Regions from separate parts of the Mus musculus genome. Here all the other regions are reported to be linked to region 1. The links are microRNA targets in miRTarBase. Many come from high-throughput screens and were not tested one by one. Region 1 holds a microRNA gene; each other region holds the end of a gene's coding sequence. Distances are from middle to middle.

Region 1 (5,073 bases):
GTTGAGGCAGGCAGGTGTCCAAGAGATTGGGCTAGATGCTGGAACTCCAGGACACTCAGGACAGGAAGAAATACTCCTTCCTACATGTTTATTTCAAGGACCCAAGGCCTCTGCCAGCATCCTTGTGAACTATTTCCTGCCATCGTCAAAACATTGGTCCAGGCAAGCTTCTTTCTTGCTACAATTTCCAATTTTCTCTTTCCTTTCATATGTATTAATCACAATTTCTTTTCTCTCTAGCCCATTAGTAATGCTGACTTCATTGTTCCTGTTGAAATCGACGGAACCATACACCAGGTAAGGAACCAGAGTTAGCCTGCAGTTCCAGAGAGCATTTTCTTGTAACCACACTCCCTGGGAACATCATTTTTTCAATTCTCACTTCAGTGGCCATTTTATTCTAACTTCAGGAAACAAACTTTGTATAATAAGTATAGTAAGCCAGGCATGGAGGCAGAGGCAGGCAGATCTCTTGAGTCTGAGGACAGCCTGGTCCACAAAGCGAGTCCTTGTACAGCCAGGGCTACACAGAGAAACCCTGTCTCAAAAGCTAAATAAAAATACTGTGAATGATTCTCTGCCTCATGCATGCATTTGCTTTTTACCGTGTTTATGAGGACCCTTTTCTGTTAATAAATATTAGGTATGATCTCTGATTTGATTTCAACTTTTAGGAGCCTTTGTGCAATCCCCTAGTTGTCCCCACCGCTGGCCGGGTTTGACATCTGGTCAACTTCATCATGCATTTGCTTTTGGCTTCTCCTAGCAACAGGAAAATGCCACCAGTCACCCACTGACGGAGCATTCTTGGGAAAAATGTCCACTTTGATGCCAACTGCTCCCGTGAGAGCTTCTCTGCCCATGTGGTTTTCTCCAGTGTCTTTTTTAGCAAATACTCAACCCAGAGCAAAGGGGAAGGGTGTGTTAAGACCAGCAGGGTGCTGTGCATAAATTGTCATCGTCAGCTGGCATCAATCTTCTTCCGGTTTTTGGGGTTTTCTGTTTTGGGGTTGTTTGTTTGTTTGTTTGTTTGGGGGAGTTGCTTCTTCTTTATTTTTTCTTCGTCATCAGCAAGCTCTTCTGGAAATGACTTCGTCTATGAATACATTAGAAACATGGTAGAAAAGCTCGCCTTGGAGGTTAAGGTAGATATAGTTTTGCCACATGTTTCTTAGGAGTGATGGGACAGACTGTCTCCCCCATCAAACTCAAGGCCTTAAGGGGAGAGTATCTGGCCTCATATCCCAGGAAGGGACAGACATTTCCTGGTTCCTGGGCCACACAGGATGTCATTTCTTAACGATGCCAATAAGGCTCCTTAACTCTTGAGTGCAGTTTAGAACAATCCAGGGCTGTGAAATCAGCTGTTTTAGCCATTCCGTTGCCCAGACAGAAGGTTATATATGACAATCATCAGGATAAGATTTCCTGACTCCTAAGCCAGGGCTCTTTCCTTAGACTTGGTTCCCCCTGTCTCCCTTACCCCCACCTAGCTCTCTATCCTGTCCTACAGGACATAGGACCTGGGAAGGTTTCAGGCACCTGGTCACTTACCATTCACAAAGCACCAACTGAATTAACTCCACCCCCGCCATGCAGTTAGGACCTCTGCGCTGGTTGTTGTGTCTAAAGTCGAAGAGTCCTTGAGGTGAGGCTCAGGAGGACTGCCCAAGAAAATAATTCTTCACACCACGTGGCCACAAGCACGTCCGGAGTGCAGGACCCACCCCGGCTTCCCTTGCCCCTTCTCTTTGGCAGTAGACACCCCGGGCATCAGGGCTGGGAGCAGAAACTCCAGAGAGAAGGAAGGTACAAAAGCTGGAGGACCGAGGCCCTGGCGAAGGCCGTGGCCTCGTTCAAGTAATCCAGGATAGGCTGTGCAGGTCCCAAGGGGCCTATTCTTGGTTACTTGCACGGGGACGCGGGCCTGGACGCCGGCATCTGGGCCCAGGAACCTCCTTTCTGCTAAAGGCGGCAACAACAGAGTTTCCCCCGTCCATCTCCAACCCTTTGCCTGTAGCCAAGCTTGCTGGCCAAGCAGTCCTCCCGGAGACTCAGGACCGGAGGCCACACCCAGTCACTGGCACCAGCAACAACGAGTGTTATGAGCAAAGCAGGTCCTGCAGCTGCTACAGCCACACAGCTCTGCCCTCAGCCTAGCCCAACACCCCAGCTCAGCAGGATCCTGGTGGCACCCAGGATAGACCACCTATATTCCTCTGGCCCCTCTCTCCACCCTCAGCTGCAGAGCCAGACCCCCAACCCACTCCTAAAGCTAGCCAGCCGCTTTCTCTCCAGGTCTTTGCCCTAGGAAGCGCCTTTTCCTGGCATGCTGCAAAGCAGTGTTTCCATCTAGGAAGTCTGTCCTGCAGTGTGTTTTCCTTGCATGGGGTGCAGTCTTGTGTCTCCTCTCCCTTTCCGCAGCCCCCTCCCCTGCTCTGTCTGCCCTTAGAGGCCCTGTGGCTTACTGCTACCTTTAGCTCTTTACCTTAACTGCTTCCTCCCTGAGCAGCCTCCAGGGCTTCTCTCACTGCCTATGGTTGGCTGTGGACACAGGCTTTGGCCCAACACAAACCCAAGTGTTGTGACGCTTCCGATCCTCACGTTCACACTTTGCTCGGGTTGGAGGCTCAGCTCTCTCTCTCTCTCAGCGTGTGAGCTCCTCTTTATTCAAGGTCAAGGCCAGATGTTGCTTTCTGAGACGCCCTCTGGAAGGGAGAATTATCTTGAATGAATACCCCACTGTGAGATTTCTTGTGTTCACTAATTTCTGTCAGTGTGTGCTCAAGACTGAGTGAGCTGAGCCGGCAAGGCCCACCACACGAGTCTCCAGAGGATTGGGGGCTCCAATTCAGCCTTGTAGCTGAACTGAGCACAGCGCTGAGACCTGGTAATTATGTTTTATTTTAAAGATGTAGCTAACTTCTAGTGGAATTTACTCAAGTTTTAATTGGTCCCTCCCTCTGCCCACTGCCTCTCCCTGGCTTTGCTTTCTCTCTTCCAGTTCCTACACATTCCTTTAGCCTCCAGAGACTGCAGCCTGGGTGTTAGGTGAAACCAGCTGCTTCGCAGGCCTGTCTGGTCTGATCAGAAGGATACACAGAGCCCAACTGTGGGAAGCAGCCCCTTACCCATGTGAAGTGCTTTCTGTACCCCTACACAAGCAGGGTGACCTCCATGGTGTCCACTAGAAAGTTTTCAAGTGCATTAACCCCAGGGGGCAGGGATGTTCAGAGTTGGAGGCCGCAGCTAGTCCTAGACTTCCAGAAGGACAGCACCTAGGCTGTGGCCTGTGGCCACATAGGGGCTGACTCAGCAAGTGCCAAGTGGATGCATGAGCAACTGCGACTGGACATGGCACAGCTGTGCTCTGCTTACTGGCTCCGAAGATACTCAAGAACCTTGACGACGTGGTCGGCTTTCCTTTCTCTCTACAAGGGTTGAGACGCAGAACCTAGTGCAAGCTTCAGTAAATCGTACATAGGCCTGGCAACAGGAGAAGGGCCCCTTGGCAGTTCTTCCAAGGCCCACGCTGTCCCTGGATGCTATGACTGACAGCTCTTGTCTCCTCCCACCGCAGGTGTATGTGCTGAAGCGACCTCACGTGGACGAGTTCCTCCAGAGGATGGGGCAGCTCTTTGAGTGTGTGCTCTTTACTGCCAGCTTGGCCAAGGTGCGTCCTTTTCGTCCTGCATCCTGTGTCCTGCATCCTGCGTCCTGTTCCCAGCCGTCATCCCAACCTCTCCACCCTCCACCACACCCCCCAAGCTGCCAAGAGCCCTTTGTTAAGGTGGAGGAAGCTATTTTTACGGTGACAGGTTCCCACCCCAGATGCGATAGATGCAGGCCATGTGCACACTGCTAGGCTGAGAGGTTTCTGGTTACCATGGTGACTGGGAGCATTTGGAACAAATGCTCCATGAAGTTGCTTTATGCAGCCACCTGAAACCAGTTATCCACAGACAAAACCACAAGACCCGTCCATTGTGACTGTGGATGGATGCAGGTGTGGGGGAGTCTCCCTCACGCATTGAAGAGCAGCCAGATTTTAGAGTCCCTGTGTCCCCGTGTTTGATGGCCACAGGTTTCAGGGAGGAACAAGTTAAGAGGCAGGTGTCAAGTGTCACTGGCAGGCACAGAATGTTGGGAGTTCTGATAGCCTTGGGAGCTGAATGGTTTCTGGTAAATTCCTTTACCTCTGGCACATTGGTTTCTTCTTGTCTAATTGGGGATAATTCCATCTGCCTGTTAGAGTTCATTAAATGAAATGGCCCATGTGAACGGCTCAGCACAGCCCCAGATTCCCATCAAGCAGACGTTCATTGAGCCCTCACTGTTCTCTGGGCACTGCCATGGACACTGTCGCAGGGTAAACACTCCTGATGTTCAGTATTTACCATCATAAGCACCAATAGCATCCAGACAGGCTTCACAGGTGAGTTGAAAGCAGGCGGAGTAGACCCTAGCTCGCTCTCCCAAATCCTTTCTGTGCCGACCGTGACTCTCGCAGAGTCAGTCAATCCACTTAGCAGAGGCACCTGGGTCTTCATGGGTACCTGGAAAACTCTGAGTGGCCCCAGAGATGAGATCTGTGGTGTGCAGAATTCCGGGAGCCACTAGCAGCTCCCTCCCCCACGGCCTGCCTGGGATAGCACCCATCCTCATCTGCCTGTTGGATCTTCGACCCCAGGTCTTCAGCCCCACTCTGCTGGCTGGGGCATTCCTGGCTGGGTCTATACTCTATGCTGACCAAGGCAAGAGCCACACATTCTGCTCCACCAGCGTCGTCAGCCAGCCTCAATGGGAGCTGCTAACGAGTGATCCCGAGCCTGGGTTTTGATCTCATGTACACAAAGCAGAACACGGCCTCAAGGAAAACATAGTCGTCCCCAGTGGTGTCAAGACTAATTGCGTGAGCAGCTTCAGTGGTGCTCGTGACGCCGCTCCGGGATGCTGAGGAACCTGAAGTAATAAGCAGCCAAATAGCGAGCGAGCGGGAAGATTGCACCCGAGCGCCGGACTGAGGCTTGGTTTTTGTGGTTTTTTTTTTTTTTTTTTTTTTTCCTTAGCAAG
Region 2 (5,070 bases), 43 Mb from region 1:
GGAACATGCCTTGATCTTAAATTCCCGGATTTTCCTAAGCCTCAGTAGCTCTCATACTTCCTTTCAGACAGTACAAACATCAGGCATAGTAGGTGCCATTGTGTACTAAATACAGTTCATTTTCTCCACCCTACCAGTTCCCACTTCATCCTATTTCATAATTCTGAGTCTATGTATGGTTTTAAAAAAGCATTCATTTGTTCCTGGGAATCCATATAAACTTAACCAGTTTGTTTCTTTGTATACAAGAAAGGCATCATTTTTCCCAATTCGGTTTCTAACTGTAATCTTCTCCCATCCATTACTGATTTATTTTCTCTTTCGTCAAATTCTATGATTGTCCTGCTTAAACATTAGATATGCTTGCAAATTGTACTGAGGTATCTTCTTCATATTATGTTTTAATAAATAAATAAAGTGGAGAAATCTAAACCACTGCCTACATGGTTCACGGAAATAAATGCTGACCCTGAACTGATAATGAACAAAACAATGTTTCCTAATTTTAATCAGTTAAGCCACTACTAGTGAGATTAAAACAATTGTTTTCATCCTTTTTTCTTTTCTTTTCTTGACTCTCATCCCTACCCTACCTGGTGTCTTCTTTTTTTTCCCTTCCAGGGTGTGGATCTCTACAAGGTGATGGAAGCTGGTGAGTTTATTTGCAAGGCAGTGAACAAAACTACAAACTCTAAAGTCGCACAAGCCTCCTTCAACGCTCGCCTTGAATGAGTTTGTGATTTAAGAAAGAGCAGAGCCCTTCCAGCCCTAGTTCATCACAGTGTCATTAGTGCCAACACATTCTGAAGTGGAAGTTAATAAAAAGAGCTGGGAGAGGAGCTATGCTTGGATAGACCGTGAAGTGGATGGGGCAAGACAAGGCGTCTGTTCAACTGCAAGCTGAGAATGAGCCCCACTGCTTGCCCTTCTGGTGGTGGACAAAGCCTGCTCGTTTGCTCTTACAGAAATCATTATATTTTTTAGCTTAGTAGAACTGAAAATTGACTTCAGATTTCTCTAAGTATCAAGTGCTGTGTTAATGCCTCCTCAAGCCACCTTACCGCAGGGTACACATTGTTAGTGGTTTATGAGCCTCGACACAATGCAGAGTGTGTGGCCCTGAAGTTGTGTTTCCCCCCCCCCCTCTGGATCCTAACTCTCCATTTGCCAAGTTTGTTAAGTTGTGGACCAAGAGCCAAAGTTTCATCCGACCCAACATATTTTTTAGCAATAGAACTTTTATATTTCGAGTGCGGCTAACATCTGTTAACTATTTCAATGACTTTATTGTGCTCCAAGATGCTGTGGTCAATGGCAAGAAGCCACATCCTGAAAACACACCATACCTCCCATGTTTGTTCTGTGCATCCAGTTTGCTGTGTTTTACATTTAATCAATTGTAGAAAAAAAATCCACAATGTTATTTAAATATGGAGAAACTCTATGGTATGGTTTTTATTCTGGTGTCTAAGGGACAGTAACAATAGTAGACTGATATAGACACCCTAGTCTATTTCCATAATATCTAGTTTACTTTTAAATGGCCCAAGGAAATACTACTGTGATTTTAAGAATGTTAATATAATTTTTAACTGATGAAAAGTCTGTTTTCATTGACTTATTATTTGTATTCTATATCTGTTTGTTTTTATTTGACTGTAGAATATTTATTTTAAAGTTGAATGACAGAAATATTATCTCCAGTGCCAGAAAGCATTGCCAGGGATAATGAAAATTAATACATTAAAGATCAAGGCCTGGGATATGGCTCAGTGGTTAAGAGCATTGACTGTTCTTTTAGAGGACATAGATTTGATTCCAAGCACCTGTATGGTGATTCAATAGTATTTGTAAATCCAGTTTCAGGAAATCTAATGACTTCTTCTAGCCTCTGCATGACTAGTCAGGCAAGCAAGATACAGTCATATATGCAGGTAAATTACCAATTAACAAAAAACAGCACAGACATCCTAGAAAATAGTAAAACCATTGAAATGAAAATATTACAGAAAATAAAAGGGATATTGATTAGAAGCAAAATATCATTAAAGGTATATAGTAGGAAAAATTGGAACAGAAACATACGAGTTGACAAAGAAACCTAAATTTCCATGGAAGACTCCAACTTGTCAGCTTGTAACCTTTCTTCTGTAGGTTTTGTTCCAGCATCCTTTTCTTCTAGAGTACTGAAAGCAGTTCTGTGCTTGGGGGCTCAGGTTGGAATATGGATGACACAGAGGCAGCAAAGTGTCATCCAACTGTGGATCTGCCTTAGTCCTAGCTCCCTGCTCATCTCTCTTTCAGACTAGGGCACTGACAGGCGGCAGTGGTGGCGGCGGTGGCAAAAGTGCACTTCTTCCTTCATTTTCTGAGGAAGTTGATTTTTCCCTCTCAGAGACCTGGAGTGCTCAGTTTTGAGATATTTGTGAGAACATGTGTTTATGCAGACTACTTGTAAAAACAGTGACCAGCATTTTTGTCTTGAAATGAAGCTCAAAGTTCTTTCAAAGACAGTGCAAATAGAAACCTCAGAAATAGTGTTATACAGTTATATGGTGCCTACCTCAGTGTACCAGTTGACTTTCATGACCACCTTGATATTATCTAATTGCACTTGACACAGACTAGTTTATATGTTCTTATCTCTCCCTCTTTCTCTCCCTATACTGTCTTAATTTCTTAGGAAGAGTATTCTCAACTTCTTTCAGCTATCCAGGAAACCTTGCAGTCATTGCATGACCCATTGGAAAAAACAAACCAAAAAGCTCACCCACATGTATTTTGATACCAAAGTTTGCTTTGGTTTTACCTAGAAAGGCTTAAGAATGACAAGGCAAGTATGACTTTTGTTGAAATGTGAATGAAAATAATCTTTCTTCACATCTCTCCTTAAGGTAAGACTAGCTATTCTGTCTCCTGGAACTTGAAGTATGTTTTATCATAGAGATATGTTGCTGTTCTATTATTGCTAGGACTGTTGGTAAGTAGCTGATCACTCTACCTAGGATGTGTAAGAACCTGTGTTTGATCCCTCAGCCCAACAAACCAACAAGCAGAAATAATTTTGCTTTCTGAAAATTAAGAATTTTTAAATCTGATGTTCATGAACTTAGAGCAAAAAAATTTAATCTGGTAACTTTCTAGTAAATTTGATGTTCTCTTTACATTTTTAGCATTTTGTTTACCATAAAATTTAATAAAGACTTTTTTAGCTGTATGTATATGGCTCTTAATTTCCACATGTATGCTCTTAATTTTGATAATTGTATGTACTGTATCCTGTAAATGAGGAGTTCTCAATATGAGGCAAAAGATTCAGCTTTGAGTAAATAATTCATACCTATTGTTCCTTTCATGGTTGTAAATATGTAAAAACTAAAGGCTCAGATCAAAAGAAATATGAATTACAATAATAGACAAGGAAGATTCCAGTAAATATCCTTGATCCTTTTGCTCTCATGAACTAGAAGATATGGATTTTGTACTTGAATGGGGTGGGCCCCAAGCTGAAGAGGGAGTGTGCAGAAGAATAACATCAGAGGAAAGGCCAAGGGGAGGGGATGGACTAAGGGAGAGGAAAGAAAGAGAAGAGAAAGACAAAACCATCTTTTGTTTTTGGCCAATGAATACCTATACACTGTGATGGGCCTCATCAGTTAGGATATTTAAAAACCCCAAACAATACATTTTAAAACTCACTTATCTGACACATTTTCAGAATTTGGTTTTCCACCAATGTTTAACTCAGTGGCTCATTCATGTTTCAAGGACCCTTCCCAACCTAAGGTGTCATTCACCTTCAGACACTGGGTCCTAAGAGTGCAAGCTCATTGCAACTCTTCAAGCCTGCATTCCACACAGTATGTGCAAGGCCTTTTCTTTTCCTGTGACTTTTTATTATCAAATTACAGTATACACTTACACTCTTCCAAACTTCTACTCATGTTTCATTGAGCAGCGTATTGTTACAAGCCCTTTCCAAAGACATTTATTCCATAGGACTAGACCAGGAGTGAAGACTAAATAAAGCATCTGGGAGCAAGCAGTAAAGAAATTCTCATGGAAGTATATACTATAGTGAGAAAGGAGAGATGTGAGTTTGTAATCGCAAGGAAGAAGCCTGTATCTAACAACTCTGAGACAGAAGGGAAGGGGAATAATTTTTTATTTTACTTCAATGGTATAGTCTTTAATATGGATGTATCGTAATCTTGATCAAGTTTGTTATTTTTGCCAGTTAAAAAAATTAAATGGTAGGAAAAAATGTCACTAGGGACCTGGAGATAAATTCTCAAACACAGCAGATGTCAGCAGACAAAAATCAGCCAGAATAAAAGACTTTTATTAGGGGTGAGAAAACACATATACACCAAGCTCATAGAGAAATGAGTCTTAGCAAAGCACAGAGAAGCACAGGAAGCCAGAGTCAGGTCTTACCTTCAGGGCTGTGGGTATTATGGGTCTTCATGGTGGTCTTCATGCCCTAAGTTAGGGTTGGTCAGTTTGAACAAAGACAGACAAGCTGATACATATGACAACTCTTTAAGGTCACTGTGTGGTGAACGCATGACATCATCAGAGCTTCATCAGACTTAACTTGTTCAATTGATGGTCTCTTGCAGATGTTTCAAGTAAATCCATGTTCATCTATATGTTCTATCTCCAGTTTTACCACACAGCCAGTGACACATCCCCACTTGCTTTAGGTACTTTCTGTTTTTATTACATAGCACCTCCTCTATACCCATTGTCCCTGGCTCAGTCTTCCTTACTTCAACTGCTTTTTGGCTTCCTCTTCTCCCATGTTTTAAATTTCAAACTTAAATCACAGAACTGCCTCTATTTGCAGTACTTACCATTGGGTTCGGGTCAGCAGGATTGTCGTACCAGGTTCCTTGTGAGACACGCAGACCCACGTGTCACAGCTCACATATTAACAGAACCCTTGCAATCGAGTAGATAAGTACTTGCCTGTTCTGCTTAGTTCAGATTTTTGGGCTGTCTAATAAACATCAGAAGCCTTGTGTTGAAATATTTTATAGCACTTTCCTCATCAGGTATCGTACCCTG
Region 3 (5,070 bases), not on the chromosome of region 1:
GGACCTTAATGTAGCTCTCACTAATGTAGACAGTTCACTACAAGGCAAACTAGTCTACTGGGTGTGCATTTTTAGCGTGTGTTTGCCACGAACTATCGTTTTCTACTTCAGGGGGGTTGCTAGTTTTAATGATCCCATTTCTTTCCCAAGTTAAGTGTTGTACAGAGCATCTGTCAGTTTTTTTTTTTGGATTTTCTTTCTTTTTCTTTTTTAGGACTCAGCAAGAAGCAGCTGCCAAAAAATTCTTTTGACCTTCATTTTCCTATATGTACATCATGTATGTATGTGCAAATGTTGTCTTTTTGAGGGAATTTAGTATTTAAATTGCTTCATAGTCTAAGTTATTAAATTTTGTATGAAATAACTCTTGAAAACATTCACTTTTCAGTAAAAAATAAATGTTAAAGACAACCACATTTTGTTCATAGTACTACATGTCTTTAAATGTCAGTGAGTCTGTGGTAGGCAGAGTGCAGCCTCTGAACAGAGTAATGGCAAGTCAAGACTTAAAGACAGTCGGGGCAGCCACTGGCTGTGGGTGATACCCTCTGTGTCTATTATTGGAGGGTTCTTTATTTATGTAAATAAACTTATCTTTTTCCCCCAGAATATGAGGTCTAAACAAGAGCACCCTATTCATGTAACCAAAGGCATTTTTAGAAGTGAGAATTCCCTAATACGAGACTGGATTTAGCCATCCTTTGGCCCTAACATAGCTCCTTCTGGGATCAGTGACTTGTCTGAGAGCTTTAATCTAAATGCCAGGAGTCAGCGCATTTAATGAAATGCTTTTCTCCTGTGTTCAGTGTGCATTTCATTTTTAAAGGAGATTTTGGTGGAAAAACCAACTAGTTTCTTGCCTCCATCATTTTGGTGAGAACAGTCCTATGGTGAGAACTTTTCGGGGGTATTTCCCGGTAGTGTATTCACTCCGGATGGGGGGCACTGTCCTGAAAATGTTCCGGTAATGTCAATGATAGTATGGAAATAATTTTTATACTTTTAATTTGTGAAATTCATTTCTCCCATTTTGTCGAACATGTAGTTTAGCTCCAATTGCATGTTCTGCGGCTATTTTAATTTACAGGCCTTACCAGTACACTCTGGTTTACATTCAATCTCTGTAACCCAAGTTTATGACTTGCAAACTCTTAAACAGAGGGGACTGTAGTGGAAGCAGCTTTGAGCTAATTGAAAGCAAATTTGTAAAGTAAATACTTAACTGTTTGTCCTTTAAACACTAAAAATAAGGATGTTGTGAAACATCCATTAGTGAATTAACCAGGAAACACTGGGCTGGAAAGAGTTGCTGTCAGCCCAGAGTTAGTCGTAGGGATTTGCGAAACCATCTGTGGCATTTTAAAGTGCAGATTTCACTTTTCTTTTCACAGCTGGGCTAGACTTTCGCTGGCTTCAAGACAATTTACCTCTTACTAAAGTAATGGGCTCGTTTGCTATGGGATCCAGAACAACACTGTTTAGTATGTCCTTCCAAAATTGTTGTAAGCCTTTGTAAGTTTCCTCTCAAGTGTCATTTGCATTTTTGTCTGACAACCTGAAATCTATAGAAGACTTTATGAGAACACTTACATTGTGGCACTACCTAGCTTGCACCGTGTGTGCAGTCTTGCATTTTCTGCTGGCATTTATCCTAGAAGTGTCACAGCACACTCACAGTGACTCCACAAAACTCACTGCAGCACACAGTGCTCCTGCTTCCTCCTCTGTGGAGCTAGCATTTGACACTCGTGCTCTAACGGAGTGTCATCTTCCAGAACTCACTTACATTTTTAAAAACTTCCAGACAAGTGTCAGATTGTAGACTGTGAGTCTTGGGAAATCTTCCTGAGATAAAGGCTACGAAAGCCACTGTTACAAAGTCCGCAGTCATGTGTGCCTGAATGCTAAAGGAATCCCAAATCTGGGCAGTGTACACTTTCAGGCTCAAGTCCAAGGGGAAGTACACTGGTCATTCCTAATGCGATTGCAGACAGTCAGTATAGTGGAGCAGGAGCAGGGGTCCTTTTACTTCTAAATTTCTTTTAAAAAATCACTCAGCAAGGTAGTTCACATAGTCTGTCTGTATTTGTTTCTATCAAAATCATTAAATCTAAATAGCTCACTTCTGAGCAAAACCCTGCTCTGTGGGAAATTATCACTGCCAGAACTCCTTCATGTCTGTAGTGTCTTGTGTGATTGGAATAATTCAACTTCTCACACCAGCAAGTATTTTACAGGTGCCTTGGATTGAGACAAAATTTATTTTAAAACTTTAAATCTTTATTTATGATGCCACTTTTAAAAGAAATCTCAATTATGTAAAATTGTCGATGGGCTTGTTTAATATGCCGCTTGTGATAGAATTATTTAAATGCTTTTTTCAGTTAAAACTTCACCGTGAAGTCACAGACAATAACCAGTATTTTATCATGTATTGAAGGCACATAAGTGTTTTTCAGAGTATGGCCCATGGGCCAACCATTCAGTTCCTGGAATGCTTATTAAGAATACAGATTCCAAGGCCAATTCGAGTCCATCCATGTCACAACTCAGGTGGGCTTCAGAGTGTCCATTCCCCAGACACCACAGACATGGCACACTGACAGGTGACAAGCACTAGAATGGGGGTAGGGGAAAGGTTTGCTGGGTGTTTATTATGGGCTCAGAGCCGAGCCATGCACATTTTCACTGTCACTGAGACCGGCGTCTGCTGGTTCTTCTGTACTCTTGAGTGTTCGCTCACCAACTCTCCACTCACTAACAACTACAAACCAAGTCCGGGTTGTCGGCTGACCTCTCGGCTCCCGGGTGATGACTCTGAAACCTGTACAATCATCTTTGGCTCATGGCAGAGCATAACCGCGCCCATGGTGAAGCTTGCCTGCCAAAGCCCTTGCCTTCCTGACGGTCACCACTGCTCATCTCAGATGCCGCGCACGTCACTAGCGTGAGGAAAATGGGAAAGACTTGAATAAGGGTTGCTCACCTGCTGCTCTCGGAGAATCAGTCTTGTAAAGGACAGCCCGCTGTGGTTACCCATGCTGACTCTGCAGCGCCCACATGCTGGTTGGAGGAAGGCAGTGAACGCTTTAGTCATCAGGAACTTTGTGAGATCAGGGTGGGATCAGCTCTTACAACTTCTTAAATCTGTATGCTGCCCGTTTTAATATATTTCTCTTCTGATGTTCAAGTTTAAAAGGGTTTTCTATCCACTGTCAATTTTAATTATATAACATTTTGTCAAGGTTTTGTTTGGTTTTGTTTTCCCTTTCTGATTGTTACTTGATGCTAGCTGGAATTCAAGAAATGTCAATGACTTTATTCAAATAAAAGAAATATTTTAGTAAATTGGTTTTTTCCTCCATTGATGTCTGTATCCTGCTGTCCTGTTTCCAGTTGCTCACAGAGCAGCTGTAAGAGAGGAACTCTATTCATTCCGCTTGTAATTTCCAGTCAGAGCCCATCATATGGGGGAAGCAAGGCTAGTCACATCCAGTCAAGAGCAATGAGAAGATGAATATATGACTGCTCACTTGTGCTCACACCTGCCCTACTCTTGAAAGTCAGGGAGTGGTGCCCCCCACAATGAATGGTCCTTCCCACCTCCATGAACACAATGAAAACAGTCTCCAAAGAATACTCAAAGGTCAAACTAAACAACCCTCAATGAGAGGCTCTGTTCAGGTTATTATTCTAGATACTGTCAAGTTCACCTACAACTGATAATCACACCTCCCCTAGGTGGCCTGCCATCTGTGACCTCATGGAGAGCTAAGGAGGTCAGAGGACAGTAGAAGTAGCAACAGGATAAACGTTTGCCTCGGCCAGTGATGAAAAGAACGTATTATATTAGTTAAAGCCATGTATTGGTGGTTTCACCCTTTAATTACCAAATGCTGAAGGCTAGGACCATAGAGCATGGATAAAACCCTGGTCCAGTGTGTGTGGGACGCTTGGGTCAGTCCCCCAGCTGTACACAAAATACATAAACAGTCAAACGCTGGCGTCAGGGTTGGTATGTTTAGCTGGGATGTTCACTCATTTCTAATTAGTAGCAACCTAATTAGTAGTCAGAAAATCTCATTAGTCACCAACGGTGGGAGTTTTTCTAATTCTGGCGCTGAGGAGGTGGAGGGAAAGGATGGAAACATTGAGCCAGTACAACCTGATAGCCATGTTGTATACATTTCCTCAAAGAAGAGAATATACCACAAATGAGCCTCAATTACAGGCACAGGCTCTAGCGTGAAAGGCCCAACTGGTTTTATGCTATTTGTATGTGATCTTTCTAAAATGCTGTCCCACTAATGGGATGATTGCTACTCTAGTAAAGACCTCAAGTCAGATGCCAAAATTGTTTTCAAACTCATTAAGTCACAACTAATAGGCATTTCTAAAGGTGAGCCATTAAATCAAGATTGGACCTGATTTAAAAACAAAACAAACAACAATAACAACAACAAAAAAAAACAACACACACAGTAGCCAGGGCAGCAGGTAGCCTAACTCTCCCTCTTCTCCAGATCCAATCTCCCACTCTCAGCCCCAGCTCTATAGCAGATCACCTGCTGCCTCCTGCCCCATCTCCAATGGCTCACACAGTCTTCCCCCCACCCCCATCACTTCATCCCAACCCCCAACATCAGCAGGTATTCCCTGGGAACCCTGAGACCACTCAGCCCAGGAAGCAGGTAGGCTAACTGCAGATCTTGATGTCTCCCTAGGCCTGCCACAGAAGCAAGTAGGCCAGCAGAGCAGGGAAGCATGCTTCAGATCTTCATGCTCCCTCCTGTCCTGCATACTAATCCCCCAATCTCACCCAGCTCTCTAGTAGACTACCTATTGTAGCCTCTCCTCCTGCTCTGCCCCTCTTCCTAGGGGGACTAAGCAGACCCTGATGGAACGCCTTACTTTCCTCCCTCTTCCAGATCACCACCACTCCTAGCCCATCCCCATCCCTAAATAGCTTCCAATACCTAGAAACACGTTTTTACCCAGACCTCCAGGAAGCACTCCCTACAGGCAACATAGAGCCACCACAATCTCCTAAGAACCAAAGAGGGCAACAGG
Region 4 (5,070 bases), not on the chromosome of region 1:
CTGTCTAACTTGTGACTGTCATAAAAATCCCTCATCTGAGGGTTTTTTAAAAAAATTAATTAATTTACTTAATGTATATGAATACACTGTAGATGTCTTCAGACACACCAGAAGAGCAAAACGGATCCCATTACAGATGGTTGTGAGCCAACGTGCAGTTACTGGGAATTGAACTCAGGACCTCTGGAAGAGCAGTCAGTGCTCTTAACCACTGAGCCATCTCTCCAGCCCTCACTTGGAGATTATGACAATGTCTTGTAATGATCTATTGTACAATGATACCTTTCTCTGGATCCTCCAGCCAGTACTGGCCATCTCCAATGGGAAAGGCCGGATGCAGCCTATCTAAGGTCACCTGAGCTGGAAGCCTGGAGAGTATGGGGTACATGAGAGGTCCCGGAGGTCTGAGACCACCTTTCCTCAAGGCCCCCAAACACATGCTCCTAAGACACTTTGGACCTCAACATTTCCTCTGAACCACAAGGTAAAATAAAAGGAAAGTTATGTGTCTAACTCAGAAGACAAGGCAGGCAGATGGCTGGCTGAGGACGAGGAGGTTCCCCCGGCAGGATGGTTTTTATGAGAACTTATCAAGATTGAGCTGGGAGGGAGGGAGGGTAGCTCAATGATCAAGCATATGCTTGCTTAGCATGTGTGACAGTATAGGTTCACTCCCCAGTGTGGTGGTTTCTTCTTCATTTCTGTTTGTTTGTTTGTTTGTTTGTTTCCAGACAGGGTATCTCTGTGTAGCCCTGGCTGTCCTGGAACTCACTCGGTAGGTCAGGCTAGCCTCGAACTCAGAAATCTGCCTGCCTCTGCCTCCCAAGTACTGGGATTAAAAGGTATGGGCCACCACTGCCCAGCTTCAAACACAATTATTTAAAACTTTTAAATTTATTTATTTTTATTTTGTGTGCACTGATGTATGTGTGCATGTATGAATACATACATGTCTGTGTGAGGGTGTCAGATCTTGGAGTTACAGACAGTTGTGAGCTGCCATATGGGTGCTGGGATTTGAACCTGGGTCCTCTGGAAGAGCTGTTCCATCTCTCCAGTCCCTTAAGACTGTTTTTTGTTTTGTTTTGTTTTGTTTTTTAAAGATTTATTTATTTATTATATGTAAGTACACTGTAGCTGTCTTCAGACACTCCAGAAGAGGGCGTCAGATCTTGTTACAGATGGCTGTGAGCCACCATGTGGTTGCTGGGATTTGAACTCTGGACCTTCGGAAAAACAGTCGGGTGCTCTTACCCACTGAGCCATCTCACCAGCCCCCTGTTTTGTTTTTTTAAATATTGACATTTGAAAAGATGTAAGAGGAAAACAAGAGCAGAGAGCCAAGGAGTCCCCGTGGAAGGGGACTTGTTCTATAGCTAGCCCTAGGACTGCTCGAACCCAGAGCTGGCTTTTTTTTCTGCCCACAGTGGAGCCCAGTGACATCCTCTTCAGAGTCATTTCCCAATGTCATCACCTCTTTACAGACCACAAAGATCAAGTGACTTGTTTTCATTTATCCGCTACAAAATGTCTGAGTCAGGGTCTGAACCCAGAGCTCATCACTTCTAAATCATGCAGCTCTAGCTACAAAGAACAGACCTCCTCTGAGAGCTCCCGGGCTGGGGATTAGGCTCAGCTAGCAAAGCAGATAGATGTCTAGCATGGATAAGGCTCTGGGTTCAATCCTTTGCACCAAAGCCTGTACTGTTTCCCTAAGCTAGCTGATAGGCATACAGAACAAGTACACTCCTCTGCACTTTCTCCTCACGAGGCTGGAAGGCCCTAGTGTTCCCTGAGCCTAGGGAGAGTGGGTATTTGATGATTCTGACACTATACACCAGAGGAACCTTAGAGCACCCCGCAGGGCTGGAAGCAGATACAATAACATCTAGGACTGCCAAGATTTCAACATGGCCATTGTGAAGGATGCAGGGGGGGGGAGGCAGAGGAGAGACCTAGAAGGCTGATACTTTTCTCTGGGTTTTAAAGGAAAGGCAGAGAGGCCCATGTCCCTGGCAGAGGTTACTTGAGAGAGTAGAGTCTGGTGCTGAGCCGGCTTTTAGGCTTCTGGGTCACACTGGTTCTAAGAAAGCAGTCCTTCCTCCTACCTCCATCTGACCAGCTTTGAAATGGAAGGACCCACTCAGACCTGGAGATACCAAGGCAGGGGAAGGGCTGGCTGTGGCTTTCCTGGCTTTTGCTTGGGGTTAGGAACACAGAGGAGCAAGCAATGTCATAGTCTCAGTTTTATGAACAGCATCTGTCAGCTAAAGGGGGGTGGGGGTGGGCTGCACCCTCAGGTTGAGTGAGCATGGGTCAGCCTTTGTCTGAAGAGATGGTCATTCTCCATGCCCAAAGACATTACAGAACACCCCTGCCCAACCTACCCCTCTTAGGATGGTTACTAAGAGGGACCCTAAGATAGGTGAGGCTGTCTGTATCCTCCCTCCCACCCTCCTTCCCTTGCTTTATTTTATTTTACTTTATTTTTGAGAGAAGTAGAATCTATGTTATTATAGCTGGTCTCAAACTCATCTAGACTAGTCCAGGCAAGTCTGGAGTTGACTCTACAGCCCAGGCTAGCTTCAAGCTCACTATATAGGTTGGATTCATGGCAATCCCCCTGCCTTCGCCTCTCAAGTACTGGGATTCCGGTTGTACATTGACTGTCACACCTGGCTTCTAACTCAGGTTTACTCATTTTGGGGAATAAGCTCTGAGGATTCTATGAAAGAGATGTGGGTCTCCTGGGCTACCCCAAAGGTCAGGTCCTGGATAGAATCCCCGAGGAAAACCAGATGTTTTTAGTCTCTGCTTTCAGCTCACTGGAAGGATCTGGCTTTCCTTTGTGGTTGGTGGGAGATGTGGAGATAAGTCTAGGGTCTTTTACTTGTCAGGCAAGTACTTTACACTGAGCTACATCCCCAGCCTGAGGGAACTGTTCTAACTAAGCCCTCCAAAAGGATGCAAAACCAAGAACCGTTTTTTTACAGTCTTGGGGCACACAAAGGCAGTCTGGGATCAGGAAGAGAAACAAAGGAGACAGTCATTCTCCAAGGGCCACTTGGTGTGGGTGGACTCTGGAGTCGGGGACAAGTGAGAAAGGCCTTGGCCTTCTTGGCTCAACTCCAACATTTCTGATAAGAAACCCAACTCCAGCCTTCTGTCTGGGAAGGAAGTCAGGGGTCACCCTCGTCATCCCCCTGCCTTTGTATGGTCTCTGCTCCTGCCTGGGCCACATCTCCTGAGCCTAGGTTTCTTGCCTAGGGAGAGGTTTAAACTGAATTGTCTTTTGCAAAGGTCTCTTAACCTTTTTTTATACCCAGAGATAAAACCATACCCTTGACTATGTACCACATCAGTCTAGACTTTTCCTCAGAGAAAAGGCCTTAGGCTAAGGAGACTGGGCCTTCTCACCTGGAGAGCAAGGTAACCCTCCTTGTAGAGACTCAGACTTCCAGGGAGGTCTGACTCATCTTTCACCTTCGGGTGCTTTCCAGCACATTCTCCTGGTAGCTCCACTCAGCAGAACTGAGGGACCTTGGCTCTGATGGCACAGTTCCCAGGTTGCCAGGCAGTCCAGGAGCTCTGATGGCAGTTACCAGGCAGTCAGGGGACACACAAGTGGCCCCTGAAATCTGATGAAACTTGTGACCAGCACCCACCACTCTCCCTTTTCATTTATGGCGCCGATGAGACTCAAGTGTTTTAACAAACATGTTTATTAGAAAAGTAAAAATATTGCATAGGTCTTAATACTTGAACATCAAGTGTATTCATGAACCGCGAGTAACTTCATGTAAACAGGTTCTAGATGGAAGACCCAGGTGGCACTCCTCTGGGAAAAGAGGGTTCCAGCCCCCCACCCCCACCCCAGCCCCTCTCCTCACAGTTGAATCCTCCAGTACATGGGCACCGGGATGGGCTGGCTGCAGCTCCCAGGTGTAATTTTGTTTCAAGTGTCGAAGATCCCGAATGATCCTAACACCCACCCCATTCCTACTCTTACATTCATGCAGTCTGTAAGATAGCTGCCTCGAACAGGTCAGTAGTGAAGCGCCGATCCCCACCCCCCAAAACCAAGATACAAAACAAATGACAAAACACACTAGGTCCTTTCAGACCAGAAGATACACAAACTGTCGGCCACCTCCCCCTGCCTCCCCCCCAGCCCCCAACCCCCAGCCGGGGCAGAGGCCAGTGCAGACCAGCTGCCCTTCTGGCTCTGGCCCACAACTGCTGTTGTAACTTGTCAGTAATAAAAAAAAATAAGGTACATGCTACATACACATCCAGCCAGAAGCCTGTGTGACTCCTAAGCCTTTGTTTCATGCTACAGTACTGAGGGGCGTGTGCCCCAACAGGGAGCCACCTGCATACAACCTAGAGACTTCCTGGAGAACACTTCCTTCCCCCACCTGGCCCTGCGCCCCTCAGGTGGCTATCGTCAGTTTTCTAACACAGGGGACAGTCCTTCAGTCCTTGCCTGCGGGTCTCCACCACAGAAATTCCTTGTCTTCACTTTGGGGGGCAGTGAGAAACCCTCCCCGCACCCCACCCCAGGATGTAGTTCAACACTCTTCAATGAGCAGCTGCTCGGAGCTGTAGAGTTTCTTCTTGATGACTCTGAAGCCGGTACTTAGCGTCAGGGACTGGCTGTAACCAGGGACCAAGGAAGAGTTGGCAGAACTTAACAGCCCCTGGATCTTGGGCCAGAGGCGAGAGTCCAGACGCAGCACCAGGGTCAACTGAAAGGTGGGCACCAGGCTGGGGTCGAGGGCCAGCTGAGCCACGCTATGGCAGCTCTTGCCTTGCTCCACACACACGTCCAGCAGTGCCCCCCGCAGGCCGCACGGCTCACTGTATGCCAGGCGCAGGAGTTCCTTGCCCACCTGGCTCACCAGCTGGCTCGGCATGAGCAAACGCGCAGGGCGCCGCGAGCCCAATCGCGCCTGGGACAGGCTCTCCTGCAGCAGCTGCATCAGGTTGGCACACAGGTGCTCATCCTCGGGGTCACTGAGCAGCTCAAAGTCGGGCAGGGACACCCCATCCAGGTATGAGGAGTCTGGA

What was found. The annotated mature microRNA mmu-miR-26a-5p reads UUCAAGUAAUCCAGGAUAGGCU and lies in region 1 at 1,856-1,877, shown strand. An mRNA with a match to its seed (bases 2 to 7 or 8) in the 3' UTR can be bound and repressed. Matches are read on the target gene's strand: a 7mer-m8 pairs with bases 2 to 8, a 7mer-A1 pairs with bases 2 to 7 and ends in A, and an 8mer does both.
Region 2: the mRNA of Hmgcll1 is a reported target of mmu-miR-26a-5p. Seed matches in the 3' UTR shown: 7mer-A1 at 2,922-2,928.
Region 3: the mRNA of Lman1 is a reported target of mmu-miR-26a-5p. The part of its 3' UTR that is shown has no 7-base or 8-base seed match.
Region 4: the mRNA of Ddit4 is a reported target of mmu-miR-26a-5p. Seed matches in the 3' UTR shown: 7mer-A1 at 3,955-3,961.

Annotation. Positions count from the first base shown.
Region 1 is chr9:119,029,956-119,035,028 of GRCm38, forward strand. Mir26a-1 (microRNA 26a-1) reads left to right here and starts at 1,841; the gene lies at 1,841-1,930. Ctdspl (CTD (carboxy-terminal domain, RNA polymerase II, polypeptide A) small phosphatase-like) reads left to right here. Exons shown (of 8, transcript NM_133710.3): 5 at 241-297; 6 at 3,581-3,673.
Region 2 is chr9:76,133,134-76,138,203 of GRCm38, forward strand. It overlaps Hmgcll1 (3-hydroxymethyl-3-methylglutaryl-Coenzyme A lyase-like 1), which reads left to right. Exons shown (of 9, transcript NM_173731.2): 9 at 622-3,217. The coding sequence ends at 732. Among named protein-coding and RNA genes, the nearest start is that of Gfral, 78 kb to the right of the region's middle.
Region 3 is chr18:65,979,032-65,984,101 of GRCm38, reverse strand. Lman1 (lectin, mannose-binding, 1) reads left to right here. Exons shown (of 13, transcript NM_001172062.1): 13 at 215-415. The coding sequence ends at 251. Among named protein-coding and RNA genes, the nearest start is that of Cplx4, 11 kb to the right of the region's middle.
Region 4 is chr10:59,945,965-59,951,034 of GRCm38, forward strand. Ddit4 (DNA-damage-inducible transcript 4) reads right to left here. Exons shown (of 3, transcript NM_029083.2): 3 at 3,711-5,065. The coding sequence ends at 4,572. Among named protein-coding and RNA genes, the nearest start is that of Ddit4, 3.3 kb to the right of the region's middle.